Linked DNA regions of Tribolium castaneum. Each later gene encodes a partner of the first gene's protein in a complex. Links are inferred from orthologs where the notes say so. Each region holds a gene or a part of one and is shown in the gene's direction. Other genes may lie near its edges.

The links. Proteins that work in one complex are often made in the same cells at the same time.
Region 2: the proteins of cilia- and flagella-associated protein 36 (region 1) and ADP-ribosylation factor-like protein 3 are in contact, whole or in part, in a crystal structure (PDB 4ZI3), measured with the Mus musculus proteins. The link is inferred for Tribolium castaneum from reciprocal best matches to the Homo sapiens genes CFAP36 and ARL3. Residues at the interface, in NP_080016.1 of Mus musculus: Glu44, Glu45, Ser46, Lys47, Leu48, Thr51, Glu52, Lys58, Val61, Glu62, Leu65, Glu76, Phe79, Gln80, Cys83, Thr84, Ala88, Lys89, Leu97, Val100, Leu101, Ala103, Glu104, Asp105, Phe106, Thr107, Ile108; in NP_062692.1 of Mus musculus: Leu3, Leu4, Ile6, Leu7, Arg8, Lys9, Leu10, Lys11, Ser12, Arg19, Lys35, Glu40, Pro47, Thr48, Gln49, Gly50, Phe51, Asn52, Ile53, Lys54, Trp66, Ile74, Tyr77, Ser80, Tyr81.

What each region holds. Positions count from the first base shown.
Region 1 is NC_087396.1:17,347,671-17,351,128, reverse strand, and holds cilia- and flagella-associated protein 36, read left to right. Parts: upstream 1-1,449; 5' UTR 1,450-1,696; coding exon 1,697-1,799; intron 1,800-1,845; coding exon 1,846-2,015; intron 2,016-2,067; coding exon 2,068-2,294; intron 2,295-2,343; coding exon 2,344-2,447; intron 2,448-2,496; coding exon 2,497-2,588; intron 2,589-2,636; coding exon 2,637-2,894; 3' UTR 2,895-2,939; downstream 2,940-3,458. Other genes in the region: zinc finger protein-like 1, read right to left, coding at 120-327, 375-634, 679-872, 922-1,033, 1,082-1,183. UniProt on the Homo sapiens protein: May act as an effector for ARL3.
Region 2 is NC_087395.1:18,694,818-18,699,035, forward strand, and holds the start of ADP-ribosylation factor-like protein 3, read left to right. Parts: upstream 1-1,411; 5' UTR 1,412-1,535; coding exon 1,536-1,538; intron 1,539-3,688; coding exon 3,689-3,949; intron 3,950-3,999; coding exon 4,000-4,218. Other genes in the region: RCC1 domain-containing protein 1, read right to left, coding at 369-532, 584-867, 915-1,411. UniProt on the Homo sapiens protein: Small GTP-binding protein which cycles between an inactive GDP-bound and an active GTP-bound form, and the rate of cycling is regulated by guanine nucleotide exchange factors (GEF) and GTPase-activating proteins (GAP).

The sequences.
Region 1 (3,458 bases):
GAGCTTTAAATTGTTGGATTTGTACAAAAACTCAGAACACTTGTTTAATCATTTATTAATTCCAATATGTACAAATTATAACTGTAAATAGAGCGTAGAGAATAGAAAAATATTCACAATCAATCAAGAGCTTGCATGTGTTGAACATGGATATTGGGATTATTCCTTATATCAAAATTGGGATCATTATCGGTGCTATACCTCCCTAACCGCGACATAATCAACATAAGAACGACGATTCCCAGCACAAGGATAATCCCCAACATGCAATACTTCTTATAAATAGATTTCCCACCTCTCACTTTTGAGGGCCCTCCAAAGGTTATCCTGGAAAAATTGAGATAAAAACAATCCCAATGTTGAAACGCGCTTACCTCCACCAAGTCTTCATTAATTCGCTTGCAGGCCTCCTCTTATACTTGTCTTCATCATGGTCAAAAACCACCGGTTTGACCTCCCTCACATCTTGGAAAATTCGCCTGTTTGAAGACGCCTGATATGCCTCAGCCCCTGTCCTACTGAAAGCCCCTTGATCCTCCACATTCACAACGGAGTGCGACGGATTCGGAGACTTACTCGTTGATACAGACGACGTGTGATTGACCACAGCCTTCACTTCCCTCTCTTCAGACAACTAAAACCCCATATCAAACAAAATAAATAAAAGCTTATTTATACCAATGGGAGCCCCAAACCCGCCCTGGCCCAGTTAACCCCCGCCAACTTCTCCTTCAAGACATCAGCAACAGGGCTGATTAAGTTTGAAGGAGGAAACAGTGGGCTCTTGCACGAAGGGCAAGTATACCCTCGGGGGGCTGTCGTAGGCGGCAGCTGACGTGAAAAATGATCCAAACACGACCAGTGAAACACATCTGAAACTCGCCAAATTGAAACTAGAGCATTGTAGGTAAGGGGGCTTACGGTAACAAGTTAGTCTAATACTGTCCTCCACGTTCAGTTCTTTGCTACACAACTCGCATATTGAGTTGTAGTCGCTGTCTTGTAACCACTGCAAATAGGACTGGACCACGCACTACGCAATTTTGTTAAAAACGATAGGCAATTGAGGGAAAAAACTTACAATTGGGTGGTTTGTGACCATACAATTTTCACAAACACAGACTCGATGTTCGAAGCAAAATTGGTTTGTGACGCGACGTTTTGGGCATTTGCAAAGCCCCATTTCGATTTTTGGGAAAAACCAGATGTACTTTTTCAATAACAAATAAAATACATGGGGGCCACGTAAATGACGTTTGTGACAACAAAGTGACAGATTTTTGACGCACAAGTGGAATGGCGTTCGAATGTTAGTGTTGTGTCGCTTGAACCGAAAGCTGGTCCAGCCGATTTTTTTTTAAATAAAATTGATTGAGTTGAATGTAATTTATGTATTACTGTTTTGAGGCGATGTATCTTTTAATATTAGAAAATATGTAGTTTTAAAACCACTTCTAAGTTTAAACCAGGTTTTAATGAAAAAAATCAAATTTCTAAAAGCGCTTAATTTGCCCAAAATTAAATATTACAAAAATATCTAGAAATTCAGTGACTGAGTGCAATAAACCCATATCAGCCCACAATGGGAGGCACCACCATTGGATATTTAGTTGTCATGACTACCCCAACGAACACAAATGTGACCCCCAGAATATTTACCATTTTGCGTGCAACACTCGCTTGAAGAAACCCAAAAATGGAAGAGGAAAATTCATGGGTTTTCGACTCTTTGGTCGCTTTCCTAAACGGCCCCATCTGGAGCGCGCCTCTGGACAGTTTCATCGAAGAAAAATCGCTGAGTAAGTCCAGGGTCCAAGTGCGTGCTTTTATTTCAAAATCTTACAGTTTTCGAACCTAACGTTACCGACAACGAGGAATATAAGAACATTTTTGACGAGTTTAAGAATTTGGTCGATTTTATGTTGGGCAATTTCATGGAAGACATCGGGATCACTCCAGAACAGTTCGAAGAAGCGTGCAATAAAGGCCACACATATCACGTCAATTTCAACCATGTAAATATTTGATCGCTTTAAATATTCATCGCTAAAATCATTACTGTTCAAGAATATTTTTGAACAAATTTGGGCCGCAAACGACTACGAAATGTTCAAACGGATGATGACCCAAAGAAATGTTGAGTTGCAGTTGGAAGCTCTTGAGCTGATCGAGAGGAAGTATGGAATCACTCCACAGTCGTTTGTTCCCAAGAAAAAGGACGACAAAGTTGAAACTGCGGTCACAATCGAAAAGTCGTCCGATTTCGAAAAGGAAATTCTAAACGAAGTGGCAAAGTCCGTGGCTGTTTCCCCAAACTGTTTTAATTAAAAAATCGAATTGTAGAAATTTTCCAAAAGAGGAAGCCTCGTCTTCTGAACCCGAGACAGAGGTTCAGTACATTTTAGAGGAGAAAGAAATCCTTGAGAAAGCTTTAAAAGAAACAAAAGGTCGCTATTTACCAACTATTAATTGTCACTTACTATTGGGTTGTTTCAGAACCGAAAGTGACGGAAGAAAAACAGAAAAAAGTTGATGTGATTAAAACGGAAACGAAGGCTGAAATAAACTACGACAGAAAGCAGACTGAGGTAAATTTTGGTTGTAGAAAAATTTGAAAAAAAAAAGTTCCCCTTTAGATAAACCCCGCCGAATTGCAAAAGCGTCAAGAATACCTCCGTGCCCAACGAGACAAGTTGGTAGCATTGAAAAAAGAAGCTAGGAAGAAACACTTGGGTTCCGACAACGGCACGAAGGATAAGGCTAAGGTTCGGCCAAAGTCGGCTAAAGCCGCCGAAGCCGTCCTTTCGGGGGAAAAACCCGAGTCTCAGCAGTTGCAGCTGCGCAAGGCGTTGGCCGAGCGGTTGAAAACGGAGGTCGTGTCAAACAAAATCTAACTTTTTGCTTATATTTATTACCTAAATATAACGAGTACATTTTTACATTTCTTTTTAAAAACATTAATTACAAATTAAAATGATAAATAGAAAATGGCCTTTAAGAACTGTATAAAAAATATCATAAGGCTGCCATTTGTGGAAGGCTGGAAGTTGCACGATTGTGCGGCTTCCAGTGACGGGCTTGGGTGATATATTCGCTCTGTTGTACGTTGCTTTGGGTGTTTGTCTTATTATACTAAAGCTAAGTCTATGAGATGTTGAGTCGAGCGAATATATCGAATTAAATTATAATATGTACAGAGACGTTTGATATATCCACATTACGAAATGAGGGCGTTTGATATTTCAAACCATTTTCTATGTAAAATACTGATCGATAAATTAAACTATAGGTTTAAAATCATTAAGTAATGTAGATTAAGAAATTAAATGGACAAAATAAAATCTTTTAAATAGGAATAAACATAATTTATTCATCACAATAATTACAAAATTAAAGTTAAGAATAAAATATTGATTTAGTCTAGCTTTACACTTCATACTGCCACATTTCTATGGAAT
Region 2 (4,218 bases), on another chromosome or scaffold:
TGTATTTTCACATGTAAAGGAAAAAGGCTAGACGGTCCGTTTTGTTTGTTGTTGCAAATCGTTTTTTCACTTTTTTATTATTATATTTTTTTAAGTTTTCTAGCTTTTTTCCTAAAATACAACGTGTTCTTGTTCGTAAATATCTGTGACTTGTAAATCATGTTTTATTAAAGTTAGATGTTTGAACAATTGCTTTGTGGGAAATTGTTATTTTCAGAAAATATTTTAAAAACCACAAAAATACAAAAAAATACCATACACATTGTATATTTATAATGTAATTCTGAAGTATACCAGTATTTATTATACTGTGGACTACATTAAAATGTTCATGGTTGTTTTATTTCATCCCGCCCTTCTTATCCGAGTCACCCTGTACACAACACCAGCGTATTCCAAGGACCACACTTTAGACACTTCACAACTTCCTTTGAAAAATCCCACAGGAAAATCAACTCACGAAAAACCTCATTTTCGTCGTTCTTCAACTGTTTGTATTTATTCCAACCACAGCCAAACAATTTTCCCTCATCTGAAACCACCAAACGTCACATCCAATCAAACTAAAGCACTAACCAATCACCTGTCAAAACAACTGTATGTTTATTACCACAGCCAACATTTTTAATATTAAAATCAAAATCTAAGACTTGAGGCGTTGCCATAATGGACACCCCATCATCACTTCCCCCTAAACCCAACTGTCCACTTCCGTTCCACCCCCAAACGTATAAATCCCCCTCTTTACTCAAAGCACACGAATGCCAGCCTCCTGCCTCAATAGCCTCAATTTTCACACCACCTAACGCTTCTATAAACTTAGGTTCGGATTCATCATCCAGACATCCATGCCCAAGTTGTCCGCGACTAAAAACATAAGATTACTTCCGTCCCAATTGGCCACTAGCACCCACCTTCCCCTACCAAAGCTAAAAACATTTCCGCTTTTGTCTAAAAGTAAGCAATGTTCGCGGCCCGTTTTCACCTCAATTATATCCCCGCTTACAAATTCTAACTTATTTGGCACATTGTACAAGAGTCCCTTTTTCGTTAAAGCTACACAAAGCTTGGATCCAGTCGAAATTTGAACAACGGTGTCATCGTCATCCAAACCCATCAATTTTGGCACTTTTATCACAGATTCCGTTATTTTTAACAAGTCTCCATTAGTCAAAAGCACCAAAACTTTGTCTTCGTTGCATGAAATTTGTCGAATTTTCCCTTCCACGGGAATTGTTTCATTTTTCGCGCCTCGAAACGCCACAACGTTCGCAACCAACAATACAGCGAAGTGGTAGCTAACCTCGATATTTTCCAAGTCCCGGTACACGTGATCGATAAAATTTACTACCAAGTCTTGTGGGCTGGGGAACTGGCGATGGAGGTTGAACCCATTGTAATACACTTTCATGGTATCGATTTGTTTAAGTTATTTACGTTGACAGTTTTGTGTTTGGTGTTGTCTCACAACTTTGACCCTTTTCGCAGCTATTTCCTTGCTTTTTTGACTTGACTTCGGCTGGAGGAGGTCCCAAATGGTGAGGATTTTAATAATAAATAATAAAACTACGGTTTAAATACTAATTAAAGGCGTTTTACAATAAATTTCTTATTGTAAATGACACACTTGTCAAACAATCACCATGGTTACGGCACTTTGTATACAATCGGCTAGGCAGCCAAATATACACGCGAGTGTAGTTTGGTGCATAAACTGCAGGCGCAAAAACAAATTTATCAATAGGAGTGATAAAAACAATAATCCTATTACTTATTAATGTTATTATTTATTATAATAAAACATTTTCAACAACTTTCTATAGTCGAAACATATTTTAACGACTCCTGACGATTTTATCAACCCAACTCTATCTTTTCTATTTATAATGCACCACAACTCTTGTAAATCTTGTTCTAATTCCGCACAGCATTTGGAACAGTTAAAACACTTTTATACTTTACATCGCAATATAAATGACGACATTCCTAACGAGAGTTTCAATTCAAAAGAATTTCAAAATCGAAATTATGATTTGTTTCGTCCAAAATATTGTCAAAATTGCCATTTCGTTCATTTAAAACTTCCTGCGATGAAAAATAAAATAAGCGAGATAATCGAAAAAAAAAAACGTGACGTCACAACCGCCTCTCATAGAATCCTTTTATTACTGAACCCTCTAAGTGACCAAAAAATAAAAAAATAACTCCTTTTTCTGTTCTACATTTTGTTTTCAACTTCTTGATAAATTTTATCAGTGTCACTTAAAGTCAAAAACCATTTGATTATAATATTGAACCAAATGTTCGATAGGCGGCTATGACGTCATAATTTCAACTTTAAATAACTTGATTTAGAGAGCAGATACAGAGAAACGGTTTCCACTATTGTAATTAGCGTTTTCAATATCATTTAAAACAAAGTTGTTTTTTATGTTACCAATGCCTTTAAGTTCCGGAGCGTACGTTTTTCCAGACGACCTTTTTAACTGTCGTAATAACGACTGCTATTCGTAACTAGGACTACATTCCTAAAAGTTGTGTTATACAAACTAGTAAAGTAAATTAATTGTAATTTAACCCCAGATTTATGAAATAAAAAAAATTTCATAAAAAAGGTAACTGTTTTTTTAATAGTTTATTGAAAACTTAATACTAATAAATATTTTTTTTTATTTTTTTAATAATAATTTTTAAAATCTAGTTTGTTTAAAAACAACATTGTTGACGTTTTTTCCAAAGCACTCTTCGCAAAAATGCTTTTTTCTCCATTTTGGTCAGCATATAAGATTTGACCAAATCATGTGATACATCGTTGTAATCAGGAATAAAAACATTTTTCAAAAATACATAAAGCGAATGTGTATGGTTTCAATAAGAAAAACCAGAGTTGAGCGTTGTAACTCTGATATCAACAACGCCTTGGAAAATACGATGATACATTTAGATTCCTTGTAAAAAAATGCGTCCTAGTTAAAAACGTATAGTTCTTTTGATTTTCGCTTGAAAAACTAAAAACAAAACTTACAAATTTTCGTTCTATCGGAATAATTATTCAAAAATTTAAAATAATTGAGATTCTCATGGAGGAGCTCGAAAAACGGACACTCCGTATATAAAAGTCACAAAACACTAGATCAATAAAATACAGTAGTTGTAAAACTAATCACTATTTTATTAATATTCATTAATTGTAGGTTTACAGAAATAATAATTGTGTTCTATCAAGAGACAAAATTGACATGATTCTAATCTATTTATTTTAATCCTTAACTAACTTAAAACGTTGTAATGTTTGAAGGTATGACTATACAATTTTTCAAAATTTGTAATCCGAGTTCGTTTCCGAATCTGTATTGTTGGTGGCAATTTACAGGCGCGGGCTCATAAAATTATGTGAAACACTCTGTATGAATTTTGTTCTATTACATATAACCGTTAATAATGTGATCTGACCGTTTTATATTTTTATTTAACATTTAACGTGGTAACAAGAACAGGCTACGACGCCAAAATACCTGCTCAGTTTACACAGCTGTGTAATGTGTGCTGCCTACTAATTGCTGCTCAGGGGCAAGGGGATTTATTTTTTATTGACCAATATCGTCACTTTAATTTTATACGGTTTCATAGTTTTCATACCTTATATCATTGTAGATTGGATAAAAATCAATTAATAATTAACTTTTAGGGTCTTTTGTCGCTTTTGCGGAAGCTTCGCGCCGCCCCTGAGCGCGAATTGCGTTTGCTTCTCCTGGGCTTGGACAATGCGGGCAAAACGACCATCCTCAAGACCCTGGCATCTGAAGACATTAATCACATAACACCCACAGCCGGTTTTAACATAAAGTCGGTCATATCTGAAGGTTTCAAACTGAACGTTTGGGATATAGGGGGACAGCGCAAGATCCGCCCTTACTGGAAAAACTATTTCGAAAATACCGACGTTTTGGTAATTTTCTCGCCCCCAAAAACGGCTGTTTCTAGTTTGGCTTGTTCTAGATTTATGTTGTGGATTCGTCTGATAAGAAACGTTTGGAAGAGACCGGAATCGAATTATACGAGCTTCTGACCGACGATAAACTCCAAGACGTGCCTTTGTTAGTCTACGCCAACAAACAAGATCTTCCTGAAGCTCTCACCGCCGCGGATTTGGCCCAGGCTTTGGGTTTGCCGAGTATTAAAGACCGACCCTGGCAAATCCAGGCCTGTACGGCCGTC